2 linked regions of the Styela clava genome follow. The protein of the gene in region 1 purifies or fractionates together with the protein of each later gene. This does not show direct contact. Links are inferred from orthologs where the notes say so. Each region holds a gene or a part of one and is shown on either strand. Other genes may lie near its edges.

Evidence for each region.
Region 2: the proteins of nipped-B-like protein A (region 1) and structural maintenance of chromosomes protein 1A-like purify together in Homo sapiens (affinity purification with mass spectrometry; 3 studies listed by BioGRID and IntAct, with this or other methods). This does not show direct contact. The link is inferred for Styela clava from reciprocal best matches to the Homo sapiens genes NIPBL and SMC1A.

Annotation. Positions count from the first base shown.
Region 1 is NC_135260.1:16,739,335-16,756,097, reverse strand, and holds the start of nipped-B-like protein A, read right to left. Parts: upstream 9,069-16,763; 5' UTR 8,931-9,068; coding exon 8,801-8,930; intron 8,177-8,800; coding exon 8,008-8,176; intron 7,632-8,007; coding exon 7,523-7,631; intron 6,945-7,522; coding exon 6,865-6,944; intron 6,234-6,864; coding exon 6,157-6,233; intron 5,624-6,156; coding exon 5,550-5,623; intron 5,362-5,549; coding exon 5,288-5,361; intron 4,821-5,287; coding exon 4,118-4,820; intron 3,668-4,117; coding exon 3,610-3,667; intron 1,834-3,609; exon of another isoform or gene 1,706-1,833; coding exon of another isoform or gene 1,627-1,705; intron 1-1,626. UniProt on the Homo sapiens protein: Plays an important role in the loading of the cohesin complex on to DNA. Forms a heterodimeric complex (also known as cohesin loading complex) with MAU2/SCC4 which mediates the loading of the cohesin complex onto chromatin.
Region 2 is NC_135252.1:24,236,868-24,254,122, forward strand, and holds the start of structural maintenance of chromosomes protein 1A-like, read left to right. Parts: upstream 1-9,253; 5' UTR 9,254-9,327; coding exon 9,328-9,436; intron 9,437-11,360; coding exon 11,361-11,538; intron 11,539-13,006; coding exon 13,007-13,130; intron 13,131-13,642; coding exon 13,643-13,802; intron 13,803-14,199; coding exon 14,200-14,357; intron 14,358-15,317; coding exon 15,318-15,488; intron 15,489-16,172; coding exon 16,173-16,331; intron 16,332-16,634; coding exon 16,635-16,792; intron 16,793-17,255. Other genes in the region: NEDD8 ultimate buster 1-like, read left to right, coding at 582-737, 1,708-1,916, 2,749-2,976, 3,300-3,660, 4,039-4,154, 4,504-4,593, 4,781-4,894, 5,884-6,115 and 2 more. UniProt on the Homo sapiens protein: Involved in chromosome cohesion during cell cycle and in DNA repair. Central component of cohesin complex. The cohesin complex is required for the cohesion of sister chromatids after DNA replication.

The sequences.
Region 1 (16,763 bases):
TATTTCAAATACACTCAGAAATAATAATTTGTAGAGATTGATTTTTGCAGTACAAAAAAGTTGAGACAGACGTTGTTTTGACAACTCATTTCAAAAGTCTAAAAAATATTTAGAAATCTATTCTATAACTTTTTAAACCAGTGGTTCTTAAACTTTTTCGGGCGCGACCCAAATCTGAGTTTTATGAATACTCGCGACCCAATCCTAAATAACGCAAAATGTGTTTTTAATGTTAGTACAGTTTGACTCAAATACAGACAACTATTTATTAGAAACAGTCCATTGACTCAGTGAGATTGATGAAACTGAAATTTCCTTTTCATTATATCTTCAATACACAGCTCTATTTTACTTAACGCATTACGCAAGTTGTCACGGGTATCGAGGCGATTGCGAGCTTAGTTTTGATAACCGTCAGTGCCAAATATGATATCCTCGCTCGCACAAGTGCCTTGTCGCGAATTGTAGAAGAAAAGGCGTCCGCTGTCCGTCGCAAACACGACATCCTAGCTGGCCTTCGGTATCTCTCGCAATATACAACTTTCTACTCATCAAATGTGCACACACTGCTTCGTTCGCGGTAAATGGTGCCTCGAGATGAAGTCACATTTTCTCTAGATATTGAATAATCTAATGTCGAGAAGCGAGCCTTTTCATTGCGTCGTCTATTACAATTTACATTACCAAAAAGACGCCCATTTTTGGTTATTTTAATCCACTAAGACGACATTCCACGCGGTCAACCTCACGACAAGCGACGCGCATGGTTACCGATACCATAAAAATAATACACGTCACTGGCATATCAGAATTGTGATGTAACAATGAGCTCAAGACAGTTCTTTCCGTGAATGAAATTTTATATTTCATTATTTTTAAATACCAGAGTTTAGAAGCTAAATTGAAACATTGGGAAAGCTGAAAATTCTTCCTTCTCCTCTTAGATTGCCCTTGCATTGACGACCTTGTCGCGACCCATTTTTAAACCTTCCGCGACCCATGTTTGGGTCGCGACCCATACTTTAAGAACCACTGTTTTAAACGCAAGCATAATGGCCAACAATTACTATATGCTCCATTTTGACACTGCCAAACTTATCTATCATAGACTAGGCCAGGTCCTTACACGAAAAAAATAAAATTAAATTTTGTGATCATTAATGTGTACTTTATGCCTTTAAAGGTTTGCAAACATGTAAGCCAAAGGAATAACGCCACTGAACACTAGTACGACACAGCGCAACTGTTAGACTAGACCAGGGGTCAGCAAAACTTTGTGGCTCGCGGGCCAAGATTAAGAGTTGCAAGTCTTGGTGAGAGCACATATTTTTAGAAAGCTGAAAATCGAACGGATGGTCGATGAATCACAATTTTTTCACGCAGATCAGAACTAGAAATTTTAATTTTTAAACAACGCGCGAAGATTACAACTCAACTCAGTCGTCTTAATAAAAAAAAATTCACAAATGACATTTAATATGACACTTGTTGCTGCATCACACTTGATAGCTTTTCGGCATCAGGCGGCACACTGGATAAAGCCAAGATCGGCGAGGTGAAGCGTCGCAGGCTGTATCGGGCTCACGTAGGTTGCTGACTCCTGGACTAGGCCTGATTTTTGCTTACTGACAACTTGAATAACCACTGCTTCATACTGCTCTCTGACGATGTACATAGTCTTGTCATAGTTTCCTTTGTCAGACATCCTTATTATCCTTGAACATCTATTCCATGTCTTATCTCATATGGATCATGTATAAATAACCATTCTAATACTGTTTATCAATAAATAATCTATAGAATATACATAACATATATCTGACAAATGATAAAAAGATATATCATTGATAAATTGACAAAATCTTATCCCTAGTAATTCTTACTCTCCTGCAATACCTGATATATTTACCTGTATTACTACATATTCAAAGTTAGATATTGCATAGTTAAATAATTCACAGAAAAAACTACAAAATACAGAAATTGTAAACTTTTAACTCCATTTTACTAAAATTAACTGAAAAGATTTGCAAGCTTTTTTGAAATTTCATAAAATGCTGTCTTCCTTTTTAAATATTCTATCTAGCTTCATTGTGCTGCAATAATAAAACATCTACCTGCAAAACATCAACAGCAAGGTAATTAGTGCAAAGTGCTAATCAACAAATTCAAAACGAGAATATCGGTCGGAGACCGAAGATTTATCGATCGAATCTGCGGTTTCGATTCATGACTCTATAGTGACACCGCGTGTTCCATCACTAATTAATTAATAACTCGCTAATTATATGACATAATTCATCCAAAATCAATAGGCTTCTGGTCCGAGATATGAATGCACATGCAAAATTTGGAGCAGATTCAACCACGCCTTCGTGAGATATCGCGTGCATCTAACAGACAAACAGACAATATTCTATCTAGCTTCATTGTGCTGCAATAATAAAACATCTACTTGCAAAACATCAACAGCAAGGTAATTAGTGCAAAGTGCTAATCAACAAATTCAAAACGAGAATATCGGTCGGAGACCGAAGACTTATCGATCGAAACTGCGGTTTCGGTTCATGACCTTATAGTGACACCGTGTGTCCCATCACTAATTAATTAATAACTCGCTAATTATACGACATAATTCATCCAAAATCAATAGGCTTCTGTTCCGAGATATGATGAATGCACATGCAAAATTTGGAGCAGATTCAACCACGCCTTCGTGAGATATCGCGTGCATCCAACAAACAAACAGACAATATTCCATCTAGCTTCATTGTGCTGCAATAATAAAACATCTACCTGCACAACATCAACAGCAAGGTAATTAGTGCAAAGTGCTAATCAACAAATTCAAAACGAGAATATCAGTCAGAGACCAAAGACTTATCGATCGAAACTGCGGTTTCGATTCATGACTCTATAGTGACACCGCGTGTCCCATCACTAATTAATTAATAACTCGCTAATTATACGACATAATTCATCCAAAATCAATAAGTTTCTGGTCCGAGATATGATGAATGCACATGCAAAATGTGGAGCAGATTCAACCACACCTTCGTGAGATATCGCGTGCATCTAACATACAAACAGACAAATACCTATCAACATACTTACCGATCTAAAGATCGATAAGTAATAATTCAAATAAAAAAAACATCCATTCATATCTATATTACAGAATGGATAAACTATTTCCATAAATGGGTGAGACCTCTAATATAAAGGATTCTAATTTGTTTTTTCATTAATATATTCTACAAGCATCTCCCTCACTTTAACCTACTAAACAGCCATGACGTCTTCTGTTAAAAATTACCCTCATGCTCTTGTCGTTATACATTTGATTAATTTCTGAAAATCTAATCAGATCCTGTAATTACCATAATGAATTAAAGCATTCCTATAACACTACTAACATACAATATCATACTTGGTGCAATATCATAACAACCAATAAATAAGCATCTGAATCAAGGGTCGGCAACCTTTTGTTACTCGCGGGCCAAAATTAAGGGTTGCAAGTCATCAGTGAAGCGTCATGCGGGCCGTAGGTTGCCGACCCCTGATCTAAATCTTTCGGTGGAGAATAAAGCACAAGTAGTTACTTACCCTTTTTCCTAGGCTTAGATGAAGGAGTTTTACCAGATGATTCACTATTGCTTCGATTCTACAAAATGGAATAAAGTATACAATAATAATGTGAGCTTCAGGTCATTAGGAAGCTTTACTTAAATCGAAGTCTTGATCCTTCTATTAGAAGTATAAAGTGCAATGATAGTTGGGTGATTTGTATTACCATATATCCTCGAATATACGCGTATGTCTATTTTCCCATACATGTGCCGAATATCATCACTTCAAATAAGTAAAAAGTATAAAATATTTTCAAAATAATATGATTTGAAAAGTAACACAAACAAAATTATGAAAAATACAGAAAATATTTCCGTCTTTGTATATTTGATTCGACTATAACAGCACAGATGTTTTACATTTTCTAATAATGGTCAATACCACTTACCACGAAAGTTTCTACTTTGAAAAATTAATTTTTATGTTGCTATATTACATAAACATGTTAACCATGATCACCACATTAATATAAAACAATACAAACCTGTCTCTGCTTATGCTGACTAAGAGAAACTGGTGATGGTGAGAAATTGGATGCCATATTGGCAAGTTGTTCTGGAGTGATATTCTTTGCGTGCGGCGATGCATAAGGTGGAGGTGGAGGCATAGGTTGACGCTGATGTGAATGAGGAGTACCTGCTCGAGTGTTGACATTCAAGTCTGTATTAGCAAAAGATGGAGGCCGTGCAAACGGCAGGTAAGAATCTGTTGATCGAGCGGCTGGAGGACTTGAAAAAGGCAGTGCAACATTGGGATATTGTGGTGGCGTTGTATTATTATGTGAAGAATGTTGGCTCATGGCATTAGAACTTGAATTGTTTGATAATGGAGGTCTGTATGAAGGTGCTGGTGCTAATCTTGTTTGGTTGATCATAGGAGCACCTGATCTTTGTAGAGTGTCATTTGAACTTTGAACTTGAGGTTGTTGTTGATTATTCAAACTTTCTGGTGTCTTGTTGGAATCAGCAACTTCGAAAGCAGGAAAATCAGAATTTGTACCAGGTTCTGTTTTTATCCTTGATAATTTAAGTTTGAGTGATCCTGGTGATGATAAACCAGGTTGTTTTGAAGGACTACTAACAATATCATAGCAAACATCGTTCGTTGTTAAATCAATACTTCCATTAGAGGATTTCATCTCCGATGATTTTGGCTGTTCCTTGTCTTTATTATTCTTCTTTTTCTTCCTAATATAAAAAAGAATTTAAGTTGTATTGAAACAATTCACATACCGGTAAACAGAGGAGCTGTGTAGAAATATAATCAACAATTATAAGATAATGTGAAATTGACAATAAGTATTAATATACAAGCCTAAATATTTTTGTCATCTGATCCTTTAAAAGCAAATGACAGTATTACACAACAAGGCGCTCCAAGAACAACAAGAAGTGTGTGCACCAATATAGAGGTAACTAATTTTGTTCGCCTACTTTACAACAAGTTGTGTAAAGCGACTGAAACCTTTGGGCAGGGGGTATATTCACTTGGCTAACACAGACAGTCCGTGACTCGTAATAGAAATAAAGTGAAGAAAACCTCTCCCTAACCTGGTTCACACACTACGGGAGTACTCACAGGCTACAATAATAATGTTTTTGAGGATGGACAGCTACTGAAAACTGACTACTGAAAAACAATGTAGTTTTCTCACCGTATTTTTAAACAGATCTTGGGATTTTCTTCTTGCACTTGATTAGATGGATTCTCAACAGTAAATTCATTTTTCTGCAAAAAATGTTCCAAATATCGAGGTCCAATATAAACTGACTGCCATATTGATAAGAAATAGAATAAACTTCATAATAAAATGAAGTCCTACAAGTATTTAAAATAAGAGGAACAAATTGTATAAAAAAATGCTTTATATTATACTGAAAATTTAAAAATAGATGCAAACTATAAAATGAACTTACAGAGGATGAAGGTGTATCTCGATTCTCAGAGCATGTGGAATGAGGAATTTGAGACCTGTTGACCTGATTGGGATCTAAATAGCACATTTAAAGCAAATAAAAATACAACAAATACAAGTGGTATACCATAATAGATAAGAGTCTCAATGAGGACAAACCGTTAATATCAAGGAAAGATAAAATTACACCTGTTGAAAAAACTACCGGTAAGTTAATTCAACAATGTTTCTCAAGTTGGTGGACAGTTTTGCTAGGAAAATTTAAAAAGTGTAAAAATGAAATGATCTTTCGACAAGAATATAGCAAGCAATGTCCAAGCAGCAAAAGATAAAATAGATATGCAGAAATTTCTGGGGTAATCCACGTGCCCTTACCATCTCGAATAACGGTAAAAAATCACTGATCAAATACATATGGGTAACACAATAATTAAATATCTATCTCCTACTAATTTTTTCAAGATATTGACAGTCAATTATATACAATACCTAGGCTCAGCAAAAGAAAGGGTCTATTATGAAACAATTTTTTTTAAATATTGACAGTCATTATATACCTAGGATCAGCAGAAAAAAGGGTCTATTCTGAAACAATTATTAATTCTGACCTGTTTTGAACTGTGATGAGGAAATTTCAGAAGCACATTCAGCTGGACTTGCTTGATACATAGGCAAACCTGTGTAACTGAAAACAGAAATTATTCAAAACTTTTTTTAAACTTGAACAATGATTCAGAGTACTAGTAGTTAGAAAATTGGATTTAACTAATTTACATCAAAAATAAATCAAATTTATTTCGACTTTTCATCAAAGCGGATGGAAAAAAAATCCAAACATTATACAATATAAAAAAACAGAAAAATTCGAACATTTCTGTGTATTACAATGAAAGCTATAAATAAACAATATAAATACCATTACAATAATTATTAAACTTGAAAACACTGTTATAATTCGCTCAATCCCAAGAACTTCAAAAAATCCAATCAAAATTATATCCTAGCTAGCATATATGCACTAAACATATATATATATATATGTATGTATACATGTACAAAACAAAACGAATTCTCAGATTCATGACAAGCAATTTTTATAGTGCTAGAAAATTTTATAAAGGCTATATCATTTCAACATAAGTATGATTGTGGATTCGTGGACAAAAAAAATGGGAAAAAAAGTAAATTGTAGTGGACGTAAATTGTAGGTGAAACATAACAAAATAAAAATTTTGTGTGAAATAGATATAATGAATTATTTGCATCAATTCCCAGAGTTATAAACTGGTAATATTATGGGTCATACGCACTCATACCTTATTGCAGGGCTCTGTGGAGTAGCAGCTTGTGCAGGACTGCTATGCTTGATATTTCCTCCAACATCATTCACAAAAGTCTGAAAAAAAACAGAGCATTGCAAATTTCACAAAGTCAATGTTGAAAAGGCAAAAAAGTACAGTTATCGGTATATACTGTATATTCATCCATGCCTTTTATTGATAAAAAGTATACAAAAAAGGGACAATCGAAGCATTTTTCTTGAGTAAGATGTAGGGTATGGAATTTGAACTTGGATCTGGGACACCATCATATTTAAGTTCAATAAAGCTCCAGCCACTAGGCCTTTCATTACTAGATATAAAAACACCAGGTAGTTGAGGAGCCAAAAAAGTATACCTACTAACAATTTAACCTTATCACTACATGTCAATGAAAGTCCTTTCTGTGGTGATTCCCGGTAATTAATAAGGAATAAATGACATAAATATTTGAATTTGCAAATTTGTAATTTTGCAAATTTGTAAAACAATGGTGACTCCTTTATATGGAATATTGTTGGAACAAAATCCACAGCCTGGGTGATGGAATAGCAACTGAGTTTCGATAAGGCATTTTTATGATGCTGAGTCAACAGAGCTAATTAGGTATGATCTAAAAATCTTGCTAGGGACATTCATGCAAAAAGAAGTTTACCCGTCTTCTATAAAAAACATCTGGTTTCTTGGTTAAGATGGCTTGCAACAAAGGTGGTACATTAAGGCCATCTAAGCAATCAGTATCTTGAGATGGATCTTTTAGAATTCTATAAAAAAAAAGTACAAGATGAACAACTTGAAAATTATGCAAAAAAACGGTTGACTAAAAAATGTTACAGAGTATATTGAAATATTATTATTTGACAATCGAAATGAATAACCTTCATAAAAATCATGATTTTATAAGAAAAAAATAAGCTTCTGCAGAGAAAAAGAGTAACTACAGTAAATTCAATATTTCAAATTTTAAAAAATTGTTACCTGTTTACCTAGCAGAAATTCTCTGACTAATGGAACTATTACAATTCTCATGTTATCATGACTATATAAACAAATATAATTATATGAGACTTCATTTATTTTCATATTGACACAGCAAATTGTAGAGGTGACCAAACATTTGAAACAATTACGTCAACTTACATGTCTTCTGTATTTGTCTGTGAAAGTGCATCTATGACGTTTGAAACATTGTTTTTGTCTGTGTTATTTATCAGTCTCTTGATTCCGGGCATAGGAATAGTCGAATAAGCAAACAGAGGGTATTCCAGAGAATCTGGATGTGGACCAGGCAGTGGCAACTCATGTAGAACTGAAATTTAATTGAAATTAATACTAGGAAGATAACAAAAAAACTATTTCGAAATGGCAAGATTTGAATTAACTATTATTAATGAGCCCAAATGAAAAACAGGAATTCATTATCCATTATTTATCCATGCCACAGATGCCTAGTTAACATAAATCTATAAAAGCATTGAATTTATCAAGTCAGGCACAGTTCTCTAATTCCAAGATGTCCTGACATTTGATTCAATCAGAAAAAAAAACATTTGTCTCTGAAATGAGGGCATCTGGCACTACGGGAATTGCGTCAGATTGCGCCATGCTTATCTCGGAAATAATCTAAATTAATTGGGGTGGCACAAGACCAAAATTGCGTTTTTCGCTGAGAACTCTTGAATGCTATGGTACATTTTTTTTCTTCCAGTAAATCGCATTATTTTTTCCGAGCAATCTAATGTCAATATTTCTAGTTTGCACTTTCTTTAGTTTATTGTGCAAAAAGCTGTTTAGCCGATTTATACCAATGCGGAGTCCCAAACTGTCACGTAACAGAGGGATTTGTACTCACTATTATAATCGATGTCATTCAATGTGGGGGCTTTTCATGGAATGGGATAGTTGTGCCGTACTGCACATAGAAACAACTCACCATCTGTCAAACTTGTGATTCCTGCCAATGTCATCAACGGTATTTTTGGAATTTCCATGTTTGGATTTAAGTTGTTAGGATTCATACTCATAGCGGTGTTTCCGAGTACATAAGTTTCTTTGAGAAGCATTCATATATGTGAAGGTATTTTATCCCAATGTGAAAATGAAAATATATGGAAATCTGCTATATTCCTCTCATGTTTTAACTGAAACCCGATACAGAGATATAAGCTACCCTAAACAAAGCACTTTCCTGCAATTTATCATAAAATGCAAGAAATTCAAATTAAAAACTATTTTATTCTTGAACATTGCAACCAAATCGTGCCATGAACGAACCACGGTATCTCTTACCATGGTTTTATGGCGCTCTTCAGTAATCAGTATTATATTCACAGGTATATTCACAAAGTCATCTGCCAGATTTTAGTTTAGCACACAGAATTATACCTACTTAAACCTGAAACCTAACCCCAAACACATCAAAACTGTATCCATAGGGAAAATGTGAAAAATTTTACCCGCCATTAGTTTTCAATTTGCTGCCGTGGTACCGGCATCAAGACCTTGGTTTGTGGCAGCTAAAAAGTCAGTCGCCGTGGTTTGGCCATAGCGGCCATGGTTTTGAAATCCCGCCATGGTTTTGCGGCAGCTTCAGACGCCACAAAATACTTAAAACTGCACTTGCAGACTTGCAAATTGTTGCATAACTCAGTAACTGGACAATTTAGGTCAGGGTCGTCCAACCCGTGGCCCGCCGAGGAGTTTTGAGTGGCCCGCGCTGTATTTTCGGAATTAATAAAAATAAAATGAGTAAAACTTTGATTTTTCGCATGATAATTAATATAAATTTTTGATACAAACAATTTGTTCATTTTCCTGAAATGCGCTCTGCTAGCCCTTTCAAACGAGCCATGAGTGCCATTTGGAATCGAAACCAACTGGGAGATATCGATACAGAAATAGTCGCTTATACACTTGGCCAGAATGGCAGTTTCAATGACCTCATTATTTGGCAGCACTTGTACAAGCAAGTTTTTTCACAGATGAACCATGTCAAATCCCCTGTGAGATCACTAATTTCTGACAGTCATATTGAAAATTCGCTTCGCATTGCCACATCGTCCATTTCAGCGAATATTGACAAACTTGTTAGGGAAAAAAGTGCCAAACTAGTAAGTAAAAGTAAGTAAAAAAACTTTGTTGACTTTACTGTATCTTCTTTTTTTATTATTCTTATTATTGAGAAAGTTTGGTGCGAGGATTTTGTTTGTTTTTTCATTAACTTTCAGTCAGTGTAGCAAAACTAGAACATAATTACTATGTTAAGTTGTCCCGCGTAATTATTAGTGAACAAAATGCTGAAATGTGGCCCGTCGGCCAAAAAGGTTGGCCGACCCTGATCTAGGTCCTCACTCAATTATTATTCATGCTAAGTCACTAGTTATTTGTTAGCTTGGTATCTTCTGCACAAAAACTTTTTACATGGCTATACTTTGCAAAAATGATTCATGCAACAATGTAGTTTTGTGAAAACGTATTTTGAATAAAATAACATTTTAGCAAAAATACATTCTCACGAAATCTCATTTCGCAAAAATCTCATTACACATATCATTGTTTTTCGTTATATCTACAGTCAGACAGTTCTTGTTGCTACTTTTAACCTCTGATTTTATGTAGGCCTACTGGTGCATGCAAGAATTACCGGTACCATTTTACTCTTAAGTCACCAGCAATTAAATTTAGGAAAAATTCAGTAAATTTTTATTTGAAAAATAGAGATTTTGAGTCGACGGACAAGTAGATCAAAATGTACAATATCTATACTACTGTACTAGTAAGAAACAACATAAGAAAAACAATGCCCTTTATATTTATATCATTTAAGATATGATTAACATGAAGATACTGTGATTTATGTAATTTTCCACATAAAATTGCCCCAAATCCAGCAATCTGCCAATTTCAGAATTTAGAATGTAGGCTACGGTATTCGTTATTTCATATCCCAAAATATTTTCACGAAATGTATTCGAAAGAGTAAAATATTTGGTTTTGATCATTTCAGTTTACCAGTCTGGATTTCATGGCCTTTTTGAACGAGAAATCGGGCGTGCAATCAGAAATTCCCGCGTGCAAATAAGAATTCCTGGCGTGCAATTATAGCTCACGACGTGCAAAACAACTGCACTCGCGTGCAACTGACTTTGACATCAGATACCTCTCAATACATCCGCGTAAAATTACCAGTATCGGATAAAAAATACGTTGAATCAGAGAAAAAATGGACGTTTGACCTTTGACCCCAAACATTATTTCTACAGTTTGTCGCTAATTTTGAGAGTGTTTCTGCGACTTTGGATACCGGTACTGTTCAGTACATCCGCGTAAAATTATTGGATGAAAAATACGTTGAACCAGAGCAAAATGGACATACATTGTCATTAATTTTGGTAGTGTTTTTACGTAGGATTAATGGATAAAAAATACGTCAAATTAGAGCAAAATGGACGTTTGACCTTTGACCCCAAACATTATTTTCATACTTTGTCACTAATTTTGGGAGTGTTTGAGCAACTTTAGATACCGGTACTGTTCAGTACATTCGTGTAAAATTATTGTATGAAAAATACGCCGAATCAGAGCCGTACTTGGCCATTGGTGCGGAGGCGATCTTTTCGTCCATAACTATTCTCACGGGATTCCTATTTCCTATCATTCAACACGATATGGACCTTTCCCCGAGCATCGACTTCCTTGTTTACTTCGTGACATTTGCCAATCAGCAAGATGCAAAAAAGGACGTAACAATGAGAGGAATTTTTCGCGGGTCAAAGGTTGGGGAAAGGTCCATGGTCTTTTTGCTTCGCAATATTTCGATCAGACCAAATCTTGCAAGCTGGTATTTGTCGACAATTGTGGAGGTATAATATTTTGGCATCTTTATATTACTGGATTATTGATTTTAAAACCATTTAAACCGATTTACATTGGTGAGCAATTGCAAATTTTCGGCGTGCAAAATTGATTTCGCTCGCGTGCATTTTTGCGGAGCGCTAGCGCCCTCGGGCGTGCACCTGCCATGGAATCCAGTCTGGTCAGTTTATATAGCCTGCGGTATGGTACCGGTACCGGTACTTCAAAAGTAAAGATCACAGCTAAACCACTAAACACCTTTCTCAAATATTCTGCATTAGACTAATAAATTCAATTCCTATGAACTTCAGATAAATTCGATCGAGATTTTTTATGAACATGTTCATGTTAGACATGACCTAATTCAGAATTTTGAAAAACTGGGGGGACGTTCCGAAAAATAGGCAAAACTCTGAAACTCAGAAATTGTGATGCCGATACCGGTACACTCTGACACTGATAATAACAGATCACAAGATATCGCACAGCAAATACAGGAACATACCGGTACCGTATGCTTGCAGCACTGCACAGATCGCATGGGCAAACACATAGCAAGTCGTTCCTTATTAAACAACAGGTTCGAATTCGCTGATGACAAAACTTTGGACAAGCTAAGGAGGGAACGGTAATCTACCTCCATCTACCGATCGATTACCAACCACACAAATTTCCCTTTGTTTGAAAATTACGTCACACGTAACGTCAGTACGTGAAAAATGGTTGCGCTCTCAGCAAAGTGCCATAACCTAAATTCCTTTAGTCGCACAGATAGAGCTATGAAACATTGGACTTAATCGCATGAAATCCCCAGGCAATATGGAAATGAGGGATGAAAACGCGATTCATAAGGAGCTGAAGAGTTTATTTCGAATCCAGCTTACCGTATTTGCTCGTTTAATAGCCCGGGCGCTTATTTTTTTAAACATACTCACTAACCGGGCCCTTATTCAAACCGGCCCTTATTCAAGTAGGGGCGCATGTTATTTTTAAAGTAAAATTACACACAAAAATACCGGTATAGATAAGATCGATCGTTACAATAATTAATACCGTATATTGTCATTTCCAGTTCTCAAGTATGATTTAAACGAAAATAATGAAAATTTTGACTTTTTCTACGCACCGCAGGTACAAATCCGCAAAAAAAAAAATTTACACTGGGTGGGTATTCAAGCACCGGCCCTTATTTATTTTCATGTCCTGTTCACACGGGCGGCTATTCATTCGGGCCCTTAATCAAGACCGGGCGTTAAAAGCATTTACGGTATTTGCAATACACGAGCGGTGTGGCGCATCGTAACCAAAAAGAATACGCTTGCCACCTACAGCACCTGAGAATACCATGCGTGGGTTCTCGGGTTCGAATCCTGATTTCCTCTACTACCGTGCATGCAATTTTGTGCATTTGAAAACAAAACAACTGGCTAACTAATCCCATACCCGACATTGACTGAATATCGGACGAGAGGCTGGGGTTTGCCAAATGATTATGCTGTCCAATCGGCTTTCTACCGTAGCTCCGGGAAGAGTGTGTGAATCCTTAATATGTGCCTTACCCTAACGCGGTAGACTTCAGACTGTACCTGAGTAGGTGATATATGGGGAAATTGATAATTTATCAAGTTAATTTTCTTTATGTCTCAATAAAATAAATTGTTCCAATGGCTGACGTCCGTTTTCAAATTGAAAAATCGTCAATGCTAAGAAAGTCAACTATTTAATGGGTATGCCCTTCTCCTAGCACCCTTCTTATGCTTTCCAATGTTATAGAAAACTATTATGCCAGGTTTTAAATGATTTAAAATTTTAATTTCTAGTGCAATCTGCATCCCTAACTCAAACTGAATAATTACTAATTTTTATTATCTTATCCTTCCAAATAGGCTAGGCCTACAACAAACAATGCAGCTAGATCCTTTACGACACTGGCAGCCAAAACATTAGGTGTTAAAATAGCGAATGAAAATCTTGTAAACTCGTCAAATTCCTGCTTCTGGTCGATAGTATTCGGGTATTATCTCTCTGGATAGACAACAATTCAGGACTGTTCTTCTAACGTCTTCCATCCAAGACATTATAGTAGAGGGAAGATCACATCTAATTCTCGATAGAGTGTCGGGTGCGGTATTTTTTATACCTGGTTTACATGCAATATCGAAATAGCAACCGGATAGTTCAATTCGCCATCTGATTCTGATTTCTCCAATTCTGAAATGTTTGACAATGGACAAGCATGCAATAAAGTTGATATTTTGCTAGTAATCAATTGTCAAACGTTTCTCTCAATTCAAACAACAACGACTAGACCTTTCCGCGGAGGAAGGCATTTATTTATAATTCTTTCTTGTTGAAGTCTTGCTTCAAATGATTATCTATCTTCATGTGAATATCTTAAGCAGTTAAGTTCTGAAAGTTGCAGTCTTTGTCCAATTCTAGCGACAGTGTATATTATTTATTGTAAGCAGCAATGGCGCCAAAAGCTATTTTGTCGATATCGGTAGTTCGGTACGCTATAAAACCTTATGGCACATTTCCGTATTTTTATTTCGAATCTATTATTGTTTATTATTGTAAGTTGTAAAGTTTATTCCTTCAAAAGTTGTTTCTTTATTTATATTTTCTGCTGTAATTCAACATCTAGGTGTCGCTGACTGAATGGCTCTTTTGGGTCTTTTCGACCCCTCATCAACTGCTAAAAATCAATGTTTTTTGTTTTATTTCACGTGTATCATTGCTTTATATTGATTCTTGCCTGATGGAAATAAATATCTGAATCTGTATTGGTTGAAAATAGACGGATATTTCCGATATATCCAGCTCTTTGATCTTATCTAGATTTTTTTGAGGTGTAAGTTTGGAATACAGATATATATTGGCACTTATTTTATTCGCGAATGAAACATGTGTACATGCAAAATATACTTTGTGGTTATACTCGTGGCAGTTAGTATGATGAGTGCTTGCTCCGAAACAAATGAGCTTGTATTTCACCACGTATAGTAACCGACCAGGTTTTAATCGATCATCGCGATTCCTAGCATCTGCGTACAGCAAAACTGCTATCAGTCGGGGGGCCGATTTTTGCATACGTACAAGTAAACAAAAAATAAGCAATAACGTCGTTTTAATTTGGGTCAGTTATGCAAATGTCGAAGTTCCAGATAGAGTATGGCCCACAAAGAATTATAGTCGTCCCCAAGTACGAATTGAGAAGATTATTAAAATTGAAATTCAGCTCAAAAAACAATTTATGAATTGAGCAAAAATATATATAGTAGTCTACACCAGTTGTTCCGTTGGAAATATATACCCATATTCATTTGCACCAGTACATATTTGTCTGTTCACACAAATAGTCGCATCTTTATTAAACACAAACAAATACACACACACACACATATATATATGTGATAAAATGCTTACGAATTGAAAGTATAAAATTCGCTGCGGTCGCCACGTTTTTAAAGTCACCAATTGTAATAGTCTTATTCCCCATTATCTTCACGGTCGTTTTCTTTCAACGAAATAGCTCAAACGTAGTAGGCTACAACCATAAATCTCCCCCGCCGTGGTGTTTGGATATGTATATGTGTTTTGTCAGAGTCAACTTATTAAATTTCCGGAACGTGCTGCGACAATGAGTGATAATATTATTTAAACGCAGTTAAAAGAGAAAAATAGAGAACGAGAAACCCAGAATTTATAGTTTCCGTCACGGTTGCATCTACCATTGCGAAATATTGTATAGAGCAGGGGTGCACAACTCAAATGAGGTAACGTGCCAAAATTTCTAAAATTGTTCTCGTCGCATGCCACATAATACCAAACTAGAAAAGATTGGAACCATAGTGGTGTGAGGATGCGCCAAAAACAGAATCCGAATCCGTCCGAAAATAATTTTCATCATTTCAGAATTCGTCCAAATCCGGATTCCCCGAAAGAAAAGAAAAAATCCTGCTCCTTTTCAAGTAGATATCTCAAAGCCTCATCGAATTCTCCAAAGAATAATAACATTCTGCATAATATTCCATTTGTACACATAAATTCAAATTCTCTGTAAAAAGGGAATTCGGTAAAAAGATGATACCCAGAGAACGAAAGAAAAGCTTTTGTGGCAATAAAGCAATTTAATGGTAAAGAATTACAGTGCTGCTGACAGTAATATTTATCCTATTACAATTAAACCATGTTATGTAGTCATATTTAGTTGCATGGAAGATGAGAAGTATTCTGGGGGGTAACAGATGGCATTACAATAATATATAGAATATTCTTATAAATAAATAGAAAATAAATTCTCTGTGAAAAAGGGAATCGGGTAAAAAGATGATACCGAGAACGAAAGGCAAGCTTCTGTGGCAATATAAAGCAATTTAAGGGTAAAGAAATACAGTACAGATGGCAGTAATATTTCTCCTATTACAATTAAATCATGTTGTGCAGTCATAGTTTTTGTATTGGCATTGCTCTCCTAAGATGATATTATCCAAGCTGATATTAAACTGATTACAGAATCGCTAGGCTTAGGGCGCGTCATTACTGCTGTTCTTCCATGAAATTAAGCACATTTGCAGTTAATTCGGGAGATGGACTTTCTACAATGCTAACTTCTTGGTCATAACGTCGCAACAAAAATATTATAACAGGATCATGAATTACAGTCGACGGTCAACTGTTAGAAAAGTTGTTAAATTTACTTGTCTTACAAATAAAATGAATATTTACCCTAAATTTCCTCGTGTTTTCATTTTGTTTGTCCAAAAATATACAAGATTTTATTATTTAATAACAAGAAATAATAATTAATAGGAACGAATCTTTTCATTTTCAATTTATCTTTCAATTTGCGTTTGTCGAAGCCGGGAACTTCGCTATCAATCGCATCATCTGACGTCAACTCGAATAAACTAAAATACACGACTGCGAAGTATATAATCAATTCTTAATCGCCTAAACATTGTAAATAATTAATTGAACGAGACGTTGAAAAACCAATCGGGCTGGAGAGGACAAGCCCTAATATTGAAGGGATGAATGTA
Region 2 (17,255 bases), on another chromosome or scaffold:
GACGAAAGATTTGCTGACTCGACTGACTTAAATTCAACGCTACAGTGATTTTCATACTAAAACATAGTTTGTCCTAATTATTGACGAAAACTTCTTTACAACTTTTAAAAAATTAAAAGAGTTTACATTAAAGTTTTTCTCTTAGTTAAAATTTGGATAATAATTTATGTTAGCGAGAAGAGCCGCACAAAAAGTCTGGCGAGCCGCGGTGTGCCCACCCCTGACCTATTCTATCAACTCTATACCTTTGATTGGTTGAAATCATAGCATCTGAAACAACTAATTAACCAACTAATCCTGGACCAAACATGGACTGGTTACCATAAGGGCGGCTGGGGTTCGTCATATGATTGAACTTTACGAAGCCTTATCGCCTTCCCTCTACTCCGGGATAATTATGTACTGTAAATCCCATCATTCTCACAAATTATTATAAAAATCCAATGCTACTCTAAAAATTCAGCATATTTCCTTTTTTTAATTCGCAAATTTTAATTTCTTAGAACAGAATTTCTAGAATAAATATAATTTTGAATCCCGATTGGTGTCAAATCTCACAACTTTTCTATTATGAATCACAAATGGCTTCAGAAACTCAAGCAGCTACTAACAAAGTGAAAAACCATTTGCGTGTGAAGAGTGTTAAACTATGGCTTCCTCCTTACACAAAAGAAAATGGAGAGATTGAAGCAGATGCCATAAATACACTGGCTTTGGAATTTAGTAAGAAAATTAAAGTAAGTTTATTCATTTAGTGAGTTATTAAGCATATTGCTCTGAACTAGTCACTGTACAAGAAAATCACAGACATGAGATTCAAATCCACATTTCTTTTTAGCCTTATCAATTTATTAAATAAAACTTTTGGGATCTTTTGTACAAAACCTCTTCGAACGCTCGAAAATGGGAAAATAAATACCGGTAAATGTTTATTTAGGATTGCAAATTGCACTGAAAATTTCTTATTTTGAGTGTAGTGGGAGTGTTTTCTCAAATCTAGTGGCGAGGGCTTTATACAAAAGAACTAACTTTTGAATGTCAAACTTTTACGTGCATGGGAGAATAAACAAGACCCTACACAAACAGTCATTTAATTTACATACTCTGCCGTATTCTATTCAATGACAATCATAATACTCCTGACAAGGTGGCTTGTGATGCTTGCTTGCTATTTCATCAATGATTATACTATCTGAGGTCGAATGTTAGGGGGGGGGGGATTATAATTATGTGACAGGATTAATAAACTCTTGTTAGTGTAGGTAGGGTTCTTTACGTTAGTTACTTACGGTTCCCTCCACTATTCAAGTCTATGCGTATGCATCTTAAATAAATACGGGATCACGAGAGGCCATTTTGTTCATTTAAGATCGAGCAGTCTCATAAGCATTCCTTTTTCCCCGGAAATCCCAATTATATATTTTTTTCAAAATTTGTATAAGTATAAGTTTATTTTGACTCCATAATCAGCAATAGACGATAAAATAATTGATAAAACAAAATAAATAAAACTGATTACAGAATCAGCAAAGCAAATGAAACCTCAAGTAAGGTTTGAAGCGTACAGATTTTAGATGCAAAGGTATTGATAAAAGAAGTACCTAGTATGTGTGCGCTTACCCAATTTGTAGTCTGAAACTATAACAATTCAACTTTAAATAAGAATACCGACTCGAACCTAATTTCTTTTGCATCATCCATTTTCAGATTCCAGAAAATATTGTCGTCATATGCTTGAATGAACTCTGGCACCACACAGTAGAAAGATTGCGTCAAAATGAGAATTATAAAACGAATAAAATTGCGACATTGAAACTCAAGCGATCATCAACCGAAAAAGTGGAGTTCGAAATTGTTGAAACAAATTTAAACGTCTCTGGGGAGGAACTGAAAAAATTAGTCACAGAAAAATTAAAGTATGATTGTAGTTACTTGAAATTTAAGTACTCATGTAGTATATGTACCAGATTAGGGTTAGGCCGTAATTTCAGGTACAAATACTACGTGAGTCACTTGGCTAGTCGTGATAAAACTGAAATAAGGAAAATTGGAATAAAATTATGTCCTAACCCTAACCAGGTGTACATACTACGTTCCGGTGTCCGCCATCCTGGTGCACATACTACGGAGCGCCGGAATTTATTACTTCAATTAAATTCATGCTCACTCACACTCAAAAACGTGCTCATGCTCACACATTGATACACTCAAAAACGAACGGATTTTCAGTGACATTACGGACAGTCATTGAAAGAGTTACTGAAACTATATAATATAGATTATAGAAGCTTTATGTGCCAGTAAATATATTGCATTCTCCACATAATAGGGAAATCCCATGAGGAAAAATGATGTAAAATTAATTATAAAGTTAAGAATAACATATCATATTAAACCTCATTAAAGGTTTTGTTCGCCCTCCTCTTTCTGTTTTCAGTTTTAATTATTTATCTGTTTTTATCAAATGTTTATTTATCGTCGGTTGTACTGATTATGGAGTCGAAATAGATAGATAGTTTATTTTGGAAACTCCACAATCTGACAATACAAACAAATAAAAAATGGAGAATTCTGGAGAGCGAGCAAAACCTTTAAAAAAAGTTTTAAAAAAGGTGAATATCATGTGCCCACTCACCAACACGCATTCACAAAAAAAAAAATCTTGTTAGACAAGGCTTGGGCAAGAAATAAACACACAAAAAATATGTGAATGTAATACACTTAAACCTATTCCTTTCTGTATACTAGGCTTTCAGAAGATGTCAAACTCATTTGTGGAGGTCGCGTGATTCAGAAAGATTCCTCACTTGAATCACAACATGTAAAGCATAACAGTGTTATACTGTGTCTTGTAATCGCCCAATCAGCTCGCAAAGAGTCATCAGAGGTCGAACAAGCATTGAAAGCAGTCAAGCGTGCAAGAAAAGGGGCGGAGTTATTGGCGGAGATGGGTGCAGAATCAAGCGATATGTCAGGGTGGGGCGTATTTACATGACAGTTTTATCCAAGCTGTTCACTATAAGCCAGTGGTTTTCAAACATTTCAAGCCGCACCCTCTTTTTGGGATTTGTCAAGTCTCGCGCCCCACCTCATAAATAACTAGAGCTAAAAATAAGCTACAAATAACAGTTAGGCCGAGTGAGGCAAAAAATATATTGTCTATTAATTATCAAATATGTTTCAAATTGAACAATTCAACTCAATATTTTTAAGGAAACAACTAAAGGCGAGTGTATTTAATTATTGAAGGTTTTTGTGCATGTTTTTAAAATCTGAAGTTATTATTCCTTTCCTTTCAGGGCTTATGATGTTCAAATAGCAGATCAGAAAGGGCAAGCGTTAGATTTACCAGAAGAAGAAAAACGATCGCTCACAATAGCTCTCGGACTACATGAAAAAGGTCGTGCAATATTACAGCGTAAAAACTATGAACTCGCTTTATTACTTCTGCTAGAGGCTGATAAAGAGTTCCGAGAATGTCGTGCGGAAATTTTAACGATGGTCGATAACTATGCAGTGCTCTGTTTGGACATCGTGTGGTGTTATGTTTGCACAAAAAATATATCCGCACTTCCCGACGCGAAATTAAGACTTAAAGAATGTGAAAGCGCTTTTAATAAAAGTTATGGAGACTCATTACAAAGACTGCTTGCAGTGAAGGTACGTTTAGTTGTTAATTGTAATATTATTCTTCATTTCGTGGGTATGCAACTATGCATAATACTAGAACCCAGGTCACTCGGTCGGAACATATTCAAAAGAAAACATAACTTTCGTGAAAAACGTCCTAGATATACTCATACACGAACAGTTCAAGTGTTTGTTGAATACATTTTCACAGAAGTACTTGAGAAAAATATGGGTTTTGTTTTTTGTAATGTATGTTATTATGTAATGTATGTTGTATGTTTAGTTATGCCAATTCTATAGTTGGACATGATGCATGAATATCTCCCAATCCTATTGGCGGTCATACTCTTTGTAAATAGCTGCAAAAAGCATGATATTTTCAAAACATTATATCTTCTATGTTTTCAGGGTTCTTCCGGAAATGAAATTGCACTTTTTGTTCGCTTGTATTTACTCCAAGGAGTAGTTTTTTATCACGAAGGACAATACAAGGAGTCGAATAGATTATTAGACAAAGCTCAAGGGTTCGTATGAGTTTTAAGTGAAATTACTAAAAGTAGTGTCACACTTGAACTTAAAAGTAAAGGAGACATGCCTCTTAGCTCAATTATGGCTGGTCATTGACACTATTGTTATCAACCTTTTCTTTTATCCTGCAATAAATGTGAAAGTCATATACCATGCATCTAACAAACGTGACCCAAAGGTTAACTGTTAAAGGCTATCCGCCACAAAAATGGTGGTTTGTGTAGGTGACAATATTCCTATACTTGTTGTAGACTGGTAACTGAGATAAATATATGTAATTTCGTCCCAATCTTATTATAATCATAGCTTTTTAACACATTATCAACTTTCCTCTCTCTTCCACAGGTATGCAAAGATGGTTGTCACTGATCAAGATAAAGTAACGGAGTTGATGACAATGGGATTGGCCGAGAGGGAGGCAAGGAGAGCATTGAGGTTAATGTCATTATTGGAGTGTATTTTTCTTCAAAGAGTTTTGCGAAAAATGCATTACATCACAGCTGTAAAATAAGAAAAGATGCTTTCAAATTTATTACTTGAAGGGTCCAGATTCGGATTGGGGTCCGCCGGCCTACACGATTCGATTTAAATTTTTGACCTTGCCTCTGTTTTCAATACTCAGGGCGAACATGATGGATGTAAAACTGGCAACCCAGTGGGCTTTCAAACAACGAGAAGAACATAAAGAAATAAAGAAACAAGAGAAAGAGAAGAAAAGGAAAAAGGCATTGCAAAAGTATGAGAAGTTATATATGTTTTCTCCGAGCATGGCTCTAGGCCGCTTTTCAGGCCGTATACCCTTATTTGTTGGATTTGTCCGCAACGGTCAACCAAAAAGATGCAATGACTTTTTGATTGAAATCAATCTCTAAGGAGATCAAGCTCTTTTTTTGGTGCTCCTGAAGTATGCGCACCAAGATGTCTCATAACCTGAACCCTAACCTGGTACACAACCTGAGTTCAGGTAGCGTGTCATCTTGGTGCGCATACTTCAGGAGGTCCCTTTTTTCATCGTTATGGACCTCTGTGCAGTCATCTTGAACCCATCTTGAAATCTGCTCTAGGCTACCATTCTTGTTGCATGAAATATAAAACTTCGCTATGAACAAGATCCTGATTTTTCATTTAAGTAATATGTTTTTAGGGACACTTATTCCTCCCGCCTTACCCTTTGCTCGAGGCTTTGTACAAGCATTCACTAATAGCTAATGTTATGTAAAAAGCTCATCTTTTTGGAATCTGTTAGTCCGGCATTGCCTACGATTTATTACATCTTGGGTGAGGTAATGGGCTTGGTATCTGAAACTGAGATTTCAACCTGCCATGTTATCATAGAGAGAGAGAGAGAGAGTTTATTTCATTTTGTCAAACCAAGAAAACAATATATACATACATACATATGTGCATAACAAAATTGAAAAAATGTTTTCGGTACATGACTGGGAGGCAACGATACGACCTTTGGAGGTCATCAGAGTCAGTTGCCACCCAATTCAATAAGCATAAAAAATAAATAACAGGTTTGGTGTCAATCTATTAATACCTCTCATGTTTGTTTACTATATACAATATTTACATAATATTTATTGATATTTATCATAGTCAAGTCTAGTGCATTCACCACTTTGTCACCAAATGCAATGTATTTCATATTGCAGAATAACATAGTTTTTGCCATTCCCTGCTGCTTTCCAAAATTAACGATATTCTTAATTTTTATTTCAGAAAATTTGGGACGTGTGCCAACGAAGACCCAATTAATATTGACACTTATGAGCAACTTGTGTCACAGATGGGGTTCGAACCCACGTTAGTTGTTGAAGCACTGAAGCATGCTAACAATGATGTGGGTGGGGCTATAGAAATGATTGACAGTAATCCTGACCAATTACGTGAAGCTGTTCGAATGAATGCAGAAGAAAATATGAAAAAGAATAAAAAGAGTGCGCTTCAACAGGTTTGTTTTCAGGATAGTTTTTACAGTTCATCCTGAGAAAGGCTTGGCGGTGTGACGCAACGAGCTAATCATTAGGAATACGCTTGCCACCGCACCTCTGATTTCCCTGCTTAGGCTTGCCGGTTCGAATCCCACACGGAATATTTATGTGCAAGAGTATTGCTGGACTCTTCGCCGCGGTTCACGTAACCGCTTGTCGGTTACGGCTTCCTCCACCATAAAATCCCATGCATCTGAAAACAAATAATAACTGGCTAACTAATACCACACACAATGACACAACATGGACTGCTAACCGGACGTGATGTCGTGGTTTGTCATATGATTAAGCCATCTTATTAGATTTCCTCTTCCTTGGGATAGATATGTAAATCCCATCCTAAGCCGATACGAGACATTAATTGTATGGCAAACCATAGCCTCTTGCCCGGTTAAAAGACCATGTCAGGTATGAGGTATGGGATTAGTTTGACAGGTCTTTGTTTCGTCCAGTGGTGGTTAGCCATCAAGACCGCAGTACCGATGGTCTACTGTGACAGATTGCCCCTTTTCCATCATTCTAGTGGTATTAATAGTGTTATTTTGATTGGTAGATTCCAAATACCATTATGTTCAAACAATTTATGCATAAGAAAACGAAAACATCCTGTGAAATAACTTTATCAAGCAATGAAAACTGAGAAGAACGGGGGAGTTTCTTGTAAAGTAAAATTAAAATCAGTTTTGCGCCCAGCATTCATAATATATTTGTTTATAAACCTGTGCCTGCTTGCTTACAGCCTTGTTTACAGACAACTTTTTTAGTATCGTTTTTATTCATCACAGCTGAAAGCCATGGGATTTGATGAAGGAGTCGCAAAAGCTTGTCTGGAACATTTCTCTGGTGAACTAGAGGAAGCTGCTTCATATCTTGCTGAACATTTAGGAGAAATTCCCTCAGAATGGATCAGTTCCATCAGCAGCGCTTTGGAAGTAGGAGAATTTGTTTATTAGGCTCGACGGTGTGGCGCATCGTGATAAGTATCAGGAATACGTTCACCACTGCATCTCTGATTATCTTTCGTGGGTTCGAATCCTATGCGGGGATAGTTATTTGCGAGAGGATTGCTGGACTCCTCACTGTCGTAGCGTGGTTCACGTAACGGCTGGCCGTGGTTTGTCAATAAAGAAGTCTTATCGCCTTTTCTCTCCCCCGGGATAAATATGTAAATCCTATCTTATCCAAAAGTCATGATGCATCACGGCATCCCGTTTGGTTGCAAACCAGGTTTGAGTGTGGGGATAAGTTTACCAGTTAACCAAATATAAATAAAATGAACTGAGAACTGAATTTCATTTCAATTCTTCATGCTGATAGACATTTTCTCATTTACATTTTATCTATGTGATTGCCTTCCTGGGATAACTGTGCTCTAATCTCATTTCCCACTTATTAACCAATGACAGCACAGCATGATGTCAGGGCATTATGGGTAAAACCCAGCTTGCTTCTTAGGTTTAAAAATACTGCCTTATCCTATGTAGATCGGGATTATTTGTAGATTTTCTGATATTTATGGGGGGGGAGCTCCTTAACTAATTACCTGTTCAATATGCGTAGACGTATCATTTTATTGAGTATTCTTCTTTCTAATTCCAGGACACAGACACTGCAAGTTCATCTCGGAAACTGACTGAAGACGAAAAAGCAATGGTGCATGACGTCGCAGGTGATGTCACGAAGCACACTGACGAATATCTCGATATCTCTTTGTCCGAGGAGTTAGAACTTATTGTGCAATATCTGACAATGATCGAGTCAGTTTCTGGAAAATAGGAATTTTTAAGTCTGGGTGTTGAAAAAATTTAATTTGAATAAGAATATAATTTTATTTTATTCTATAAATATCTGTTTAAAAAAAATTAAATAATTGAATTTATCTATTCAGTTTTTTTTTTTTTTTCATTGTATTGATGCCTCCTTAATGTGTGCTTTTTTATATTTCTGATGCGTCTGACAAACGTTTAGTTTCCCAACTATATTGACATGTCACTGACATCTCTCCCAATATTGTTGAATATTTTAGAGGGTCCGAATATCCGTCTTATTCTATATATGGCACTGTCTAAACTGCCTTTTTATTGTTATAAAAGCATCTCCAACAAATAACCTGTTCTTGTCTGAGGGATTACTCGCAGTTAGCAATAGGATAGGATTTACATATTTATCCCGGGGGAGAGGAAAGCCGATAAGACGACTTATCCATATGGCGAACCACGGCCTCTCGTCCGGTTACCATTCCAAGTCTGGTATAGGATTAGTTATATTGTTTGTTTTCGGAAGCATGGACTTGGTGGTGGAGGAAGCCGCAACCGACAAGCGGTTACGTGAACCACCCAACGACGGCAAGGAGTCCAGCAATCCTCTCGCACATAACCATCCCTACATGGGATGCGAACCCACGCAGAGTAATTAGAGGTGCGGTGGCGAGCGTATTCCTAACGCTTAGCCCGTTGAGCCGCACCGCCGCGATAAATCCATCTCATCTAGTTGAGATTTTGTCGTGTTTTTGTGATTAGGATTGGATTTTCATATAATAGTTCTATATAAGTTTATTTATATCGCGTAACATACTAAAGTGCCTAACAGACAGACAAATATCTAACAACATACCTACCGGCCAAGATCGATAAGTGATATCGGGTTTGTTTTGGCTTCATAATCGATATAAAGGCGAAACATGGGCGATAAAAGCGTGGATAATAATGTTAGAGAGCCAAGTGAAAGTAAGGGAGATACTGGGCGAACTGAGAGTTTTTATAATGTGCCGATATACACATTAGTGTTTTCAGAGTGAAAGATCTTTTTTTCATTCTACATTGGTCACGTAAAGTTGGCATTAAAGATCATAAAGAGTTTTATTTTATATTTATCTGTGCCGGAGAGAGCGCTGGGCTATTGAAAGGTTCAAATCAAATGGTTAACTAAAGGTATGTCTTTGAATCGACAAAAATGAAAAAAAACACTATTATAAAATTGAGGAAATACATAAAATAGTTGAAACAGTAATTGAATGATCATTTTTATGTGGTTTGTGTGCAAGACCAATAATACTCTACTAATTTTTCTTGACTCCGTCTACCACAATTACAGGAAGATTTTGCGCGCTAACGCTGCTAAGCGCGCTCGGTCTTGATTTGTTTTCGTTGCGGGTGCTTTTTCCTGTAGCAAAATGAGTGGACGTTTGGAAAGTATCGAAGTTGAAAACTTCAAATCATACAAAGGGAAAATACTGATTCCTTTCAAGAGGTTCACGGCTATCATTGGACCTAATGGATCGGGTGAGCGTAGTTTGGTAGTGGCGATGGATTCCAATCTGCCGATGGCAAACTGGTGCCCAGGATTCAGAGTTTGCTATATCTGTATATGCTATAAATCTGTAAATGTTGTATTCCAGTTTTGACAATACCGTAAAAGCGCCTAACTTCGGGCAGTTACTAACTTCGGACAAAAAATTTAAATGGCCATATCTTGACTAGTAAGCGCCGTATATTGTCAATTATAATTTTTATAGGTAGAGCTGTTATATATACATCTATTATCAACCTTTTTAATGTTGTATAATTTTTTTTTTTCTCGAAAAAAACGGAAATATTGCCGAAAAATGACTGCACTCTATTTAACGGCACAGAGTGTCGCTCCTACTCAAGTTATCATCGTCAAAATACCATCATCCGGCAGAGGGCATTAACAATGTATATAATTTATCAGAGTGATCGCAAGATGTCATACGAGATTTAGATTAAACGTAAAATTCTGAATTGTAAATTTCGTAAAATTATTGAGATTTCACACTGCGTCAAAAGTTACGTCAACCTCACATAGATCATTTTTCGCTCACTGCCGACACGAAGTCACACTGCGTCACGGAAACGAATTTTGACGCCCGACACAACGGCGCCAAATTAGCAATTTCCGCTTTAGGTAAAGGCGCATTCCAGTGTAATATTTCTGTATTTTGTTCGGTCCATGTGTGAACATATGCCAAAATCACATTAACGAGAATACGTTTCTTACGTAACCAATGTCGTCAAGATTCGAAAATATAAAACTAGAGAAATGCAACGTCTGAACGTCCATGTGGCTCTGTATACTGACGAAAACAACTATTTTACGCTTTGAAGTCGAAATCGATAGTTATTAGATACACCCGTGTGGAGAATTCATTTTATTCCGAACCAGAATCACGGTACCTATCTCAATGTTAATTAGCGAAATTAAATTGAAGAATAAACGTTCCTATTGGGTTCGTGTTAAGTTTGATGAAAAATTAATTACTTATAAAGATAAGCGTAACATCAACACAGCTATCTATCGAGAATATTAATATTTCAAAGACTTGCAAGTCGGTTAAAATGTTTCATTGTAGATCGAAACGGTTTGCATTAGAATAATTTGCGTATGTTAATTCCCGATTAGAATGGCCAACGTGTTATTATACTGATCTGACGTAACTAAAATACCAAATAAATGCAACAAGGTTAACATTGGACGATGGAAATTTCAAATGATGCATTTTCGCCACGCCGTTTCGATGTTAACGTTACGACGCCGATCGAGCGTCTTATATTCACGCAACGATGTGATTACGTCATCCGCGTCGGAAGCCTCTTTCTCTCTGTGCGTCGCAGTTACGCAATGAGGAAAATGACTGTCCGAAGTTAGGGCAGTGAAGGATAATGGTCAGATGGCAAAATAAAACTGATTATTTCAATAGTAAAAATATTCCGACGAGCACGAAATTTGCAGGGAATGTAGCGTACCGCATCAATGTTTTACCGAGCAATTTTGGCGCAATTTGAACAATAAATGGTTGAGTTATTGATGAAAATATGGTAATTTTGTCCGAAGTTAGGCGCTTTTATGGTACCTAAGGAGGGTCTTGTCAGTTTTATAACCAAGATCTTGACATCCCAATTTAATCTAACCTTGCATCCACTGAATGAACTGGATCAGCGAACAAATCTACAGTAGGGCACAGTTCTCGCATTCCATGATGTCCCGACATTTGGTTCAATAGAACAAACATTCTATTTGTCTCTGAAACAAGGACGTCTGGCACGATGGCTGATGCGTCACATATCTTGATAATATTTTGAATTGTAGAGTGCGGCTATCACAGTAGTATCATAAATTTTTTCAGCTATTTTTTCTCAATTTCAATTCTCCATCCCAGAATTTTAAATTTATAAACTTTTTTTGTAGGAAAGTCAAATCTTATGGACGCAATCAGTTTCGTCCTGGGAGAAAAGACTAGCAGTTTGAGAGTTAAGAAATTGTCGGATTTGATCCATGGCGCCCCCGTTGGTGCTCCTGTCGCAAACAGAGCTAGAGTCACAGCGACGTACGTTGATGAAAAAGGAGAGAAAACTGTCTTTTCAAGGTTAGTTGCGAACAGATGTGAGAAAATGAGTATGAATTCAGTGGATCGAATCCAAAATGACCATATTATAGAAGGATTCGGATCACGCCCTTATATGTTTTCAGTTGTTTTAAATTTGAGGTAGTCATCATTTTCAATTTTTTTCAAACTAGACAAGACTTTAAACCAAGGGTGGAAAATTACGGGCCGCTGGCTGGATCTAGCCTACTATGGTGTTTCATCCGGCCAACTTGTGTCTGCTTAAATTACGATTATAGTTTCTATTGATATGAATTTCAGCTGAAAATATCGTAAATGGAGGATTTACATATTCATCCCGGGGGAGAGGAAAGCTGATAAGACGGCTTATCCATATGGCGAACCACGGCCTCTCGTCCGGTTACCATTCCAAGACTGGTATGGGATTAGTTATATTGTTTGTTTTCTGAAGCATGGACTTGGTGGTGGAGGAAGATGTAACCGACCAGCGGTTACGTGAACCACCTAACAACGGCGAGGAGTCCAGCAATCCTCTCGCACATAACCATCCCTGCATGGGATTCGAACCTGCGAACCCACGCAGAGTAATTAGAGGTGCGGTGGCGAGTGTATTCCTAACGCTTAGCCCGTTGAGCCACACCGCCGCGCCATCGAAATAAGCCCGATTGTTGCTTTGTGCTTTATATTATTATATAAACGTTTGCCTAGCTGTTGGAATAGGTGTTGTGAATAAACTGTTTTTTATTCATAGTTTTTCGTATCGAGTTCTGAGCTTCAGTAACCAAGTATATTTCATGTGATTGGCCCACTTAGAAAAGTAATTGTCCACTCATGCTTTAAATCAGTGTGTGCCGTGAGAGATTCTCAAGTGTGCCGTGAAGCTTTTTGGGATTTCAGAAAAAAAGCTGTTTGTATTACACATAGGCATACATGCAGCTGGCAAGCTTGTGAGCCTTGCATATCCATATCATTATTTACAATGATAATATTATATATTGCATTCGACTTGTCTTTATAGTAACAGGGATTGTTTTGTCATAAATGTATTGTGATGTCATAATGTTTTTGTAAATATGACGTCTACCTTCCACCGTGTTGACTCTCACGTTCAGTTACGTAACAGGAAAGCAGGTTTGAACAAGTTTTGGCTATCTGCTTACAAATTATATTTTATCATTGGCGCAAAGGCCATCAAAATATTCTAGCCATTTGCATCTCCATGGCACTGTTAACACGTATTTTATGTTTTGACTGAAATTAAAAGCGAAAAAGGGAGCGACCGAACCTCATTTCTATTGTTTTTCAAAACAGGCACACACATCGCATTAGCTGAATAACTTGTTGAAGTCCAGCTTTATTTTTTCACGAGTGGGCCGCAAGATTTTTGTTATTTGCTCAGTGCGCCGTGAGCAAAAATAGTTTGAGAACCACTGCTTTAAATCATGTAGTATTTAGTTTTTCCTCATTTTCACCTTTTCTTTTATTTCAGAATAATCAAAGGTTCTTCAGCCGAACACAGAATCAATGATAAAGTCGTTCCTCATGCCGACTACAACAAGGAAATGGAGAGAATTAATATTTTCATCAAAGTCAAGAATTTCTTAGTTTTCCAAGTGAGTGTCTTCTATAGCAACGGTTCCAAATTTTTTGTTTTTGCGTCGCCAAATTATCATGAGAATACTCATGGCGTACTTACACGATGAAATTGCTGCCTTTAAATAAAACTCAATTTTGTGATTGTTAGTGTACATTTGTTAGTTAATGTGTATAATATGCCTTTTTAAGGTTGTAATCATGTAGGCCCAATGAATGAAGGCAAAATGTCAACTCTTATCCCTCATCTTTACCTAGTTTTCCTAAATAATCACTCGTGATCGCTAACTCAGTTCAGCAAATTGCAGAAAGTAGTATCTGCCTCTATTGTTACATAACAGTTACGTGACTCACTATATTGCCCTCGCAAGCTAGTGTACTCTAGTTGCAACCCCGCTGTCTATATCCTCACTCAGTGTGTAGATTATTCTAGACCAGGAAAATTTTTTTCTAAATATTATCTCTTTACACAGCTCGTGACTGTTTGTGTAAAGCTATCTGTTCTATTTGTCATAAAAACAAAAATTTCCAGGGACAAGTGGAATCAATTGCTATGAAAAATCCGAAAGAACGGACGCAACTCTTCGAAGAGATCTCAGGATCTTCAGAATTTAAAGAGGAATATGAAAGAGCAAAAGCTGAAATGGTCGCCTCGGAACAGGAGACGCAGTATTCGTATCATAGGAAGAAAGGTCAGTATGAAATTATTCATAGCGAAATGGTGTGAAGCCGGGTTGAGAGCTGGGGCCAAGCTTAACTTAATATATGGAGCTAGAGCCATCAGAAATTTCAGTACTTTGCTATTCAATTTAGTAAACTCTGACAAATCCACACCTCTGGAAGAAATACTATTTTTGTAAAGACCGCAACTTTCATGCTCACCAAAGTTATTAAACTCGGTTAATGGGTGCTCCCGTACCAAGATGGCGCACAACCTGAACACAGTCTGTGTACAAGGTCAGGGTTAGCAGGTTGTGCACCACCTTGGTACGGGTACCTTGGTAGAGATATTACGGGAGCGTCGGTTTACGGGCGTTGGCACAGAATTCAAACCCGATATTTTTAACTTATGAATTATTAAATCTTCAGGCATTGCTGCTGAAAGAAAAGAAGCCAAACAGGAAAAAGAGGAAGCGGAGAAATACGAAAAGCTGCGAGATGATTACGCTCAACAACGGTTACAAGTTATGTTGTTTAAGTTCTTCTATAACGATAGAGAAATGGAAAAAATGCACGAAACATTGCAGGTTTGTAAGAAGTTTCACATATTTTTATGTGAAGTTGCACATATTTTGTGTTGAATTTCACATACTTTGTGTGATGCTTGATATATTTTATGTAATGTAGCATTTTACATATTTTTATGTAGTTATCCATATATTTTCATGTGTTTTTTTTTTTTAATATTTATTTGGTGTTTGCCCATATAATGTGGTGTTTCACCTATTCAACATATTCACACTTGGCGAAAAGCTGTATATGGTTTTCCTGTACATGTCTACTCAAAGCAAGCTCTATGCTCTCAACTAAGAGTATGACCTACGCACAACCACTATTTCACTAGTAACTATAGATAAATTTTTTCGTGGCATCAATCAAAATTTATTTTCCTTCTCTTTAGCATAAAAACTTTTTACTGTGTGTAGTATTTTTTGTGACGCTTCATATATTATTATATGGTGCCCTACACAACTTATTTGACCAAAACAAAAAGTCCCTATTTCTTGACAAAAAGTAGAAAGAGTGCTGTTAAAAGAATAATGCATTCATGCCACAAAAAAACCTTGGTTTTTCATACATGTCGACTCAAAGTAAGGCCCCATTCTTACGACTAAGAGTATAATTTGCATGCAAACACTGTTTCACTAGTAGCTATAGTTCTGACATGTGCAAACTACGGTCCATGGGCCAAATCTGGCCTGCCTGCCTGATGCTGCCATAAACTTCTTTTCTAACAACCAATTACACTTGCACTGTATAGTTCTTGTTATTGAAATTATTACGTCACACTTACATGGCCCGCAAGTCTAAGCAGTGGCGTAATTAGGGTGCGGCACGAGCCATGGGCGTCGTTTGAACAGGGGCGCAAAAACAGCGAAAAGTATAAATCATAAAAAGTTTCAATCAAATAATTTCAATTGGAAATAATATTAGATGGATTTATTGTGACACAAATCAGCATATTCATATTTCCACCACCTTATCAGCATAAAAACAAAGATCTCAAGCATCTGATGCGAAAAGCAGAACGCACAGAAGAAGAAGTGAAAACCAGGAAGCAAGAGCAGGGAAAGATGATGAGAGAGGCGGCATCTGTCGAGAAGAAGATCCAAGAGAAGGAGACAGAACTGAACAAGAAGAGACCAATGTATATCAAAGTATGTATGTGATTTATGCATGGTAGTGAAACCATTTGAGGGAAACTCACTTGGACCATTTTCTAGGTTTTCATTAACTTAAACAATACTGCTATACAAAAACTATAAAAAGTGTACAAGAAGAAAATAGTTTACAGATGGTGGCTAACCAAATGAAACCCTCGCTTTACCATGTGACTAGTAACATCTTCAAATTGCTCGGCGATAATTAATTTCATCACATGGATGTATTGGTCTGATTACTTTACCACACACTTGTAATCATTGTACCATTACTTGTTGTTACTTGGTAATTATCTTTCCTGTCTGGTGATGATGCTGCATTGATGGTTTATTATAGTTTGTAACAGGCTCACATAAGGTTATTATTTGTGTCAGATTTGAACAAAGTTTTGGCGTGTTGACCATAAAAAAAGCATATAATACATTTGAAAAAATTAAATTTAAATATACCCCCACTTTCAAGAAATTTTCAGTTTGATTTAATTTGGCCACTTTTTCAAGTTATACATCAACAATGATTTATTCAATATAGATCTGGAAATAGATGTGCCTAATATGAAGTGTCTGTATAGACACCTGAAAAACCTTCATTATTCGATTCTTCTCAAATGCACTTTCCAGTTTTCCACATGTTTATTTCTTACAATGAATAAACCAATAGGCACCACTATTCCATTACAGGCGAAAGAAAACACAAATTTTGTAATGAAGAAGTTGGAATCGGCCAAAAAATCTCTCCGCACTGCAGAAATGAGACACGAGAGCCACATGCATGTGATTGAAGATTTAAAGCAACAACTGGCAGATGTGGAGTCTAAAAGATTAGAGTTTGAATCACAGGTATGTGGGAGGAGCATAGCCAAGAATTTTCAAAGAAAGGGTTCTGAATTTCAATTCTTATATAAGACAGTAACAGCTAGCAAGTCCGGTAGTAAAAACTACCCCTTGGGTAGGCCCTGGTATGTATACATGTTTTGTTCAAAATAATGCCATGAACGATCAGTCATTAATGTGGACTTAGTGAATAAAGAGTTTCTTTTATGTATCTGTTTCAAACAAGGCTCTGCGCAAACGACATTGAGGTACAGCTAATATAGTACATATAAAAGTTAAAGACGTTTTTATCAATATTTCCAAACAAAGGTCGAACTCGACAGTCAGACTGAAGGTCGTGACCTTGAGCTGGAAGAGTCGCAGATCAACGAATACAATCGCTTGAAAGAGGAAGCGGCAAAACGATCGACTGCAATAAATATGGAAATTGAGAAATTACTTCGAGAACAACAAACTGACCAGGAAAAGTAAGGACTCTGTGATTTTTATTAAAATTAATAATGTTCAAAATCAAAAATGTCTTCCCAGATCTATATGACTTGGTGTTGCTGTTCTGAAAGCATTGGCGATGTTTTCAATATCAAAAATTTAATTTCCTTTTGTTGTGACTGTGATTGATTGTGAAGAATAGCTATGAAACTGCAAATTATCAGGATATGTACCGTAACAGAGAGTATATATTCTGGGGTGTGCTGGTTATACCATATTCTGGGGTGTGCTGGTTATACCATATTCTGGGGTGTGCTGGTTATACCATATTCTGGGGTGTGCTGGTTATACCATATTCTGGGGTGTGCTGGTTATACCATATTCTGGGGTGTGCTGGTTATACCATATTCTGGGGTGTGCTGGTTATACCAAACTGTATTTCTCCATCTGAAAGCAACTTCTCCTTCTGTATTAATGGGTCCTTGTTCGAATTGAAGGTTT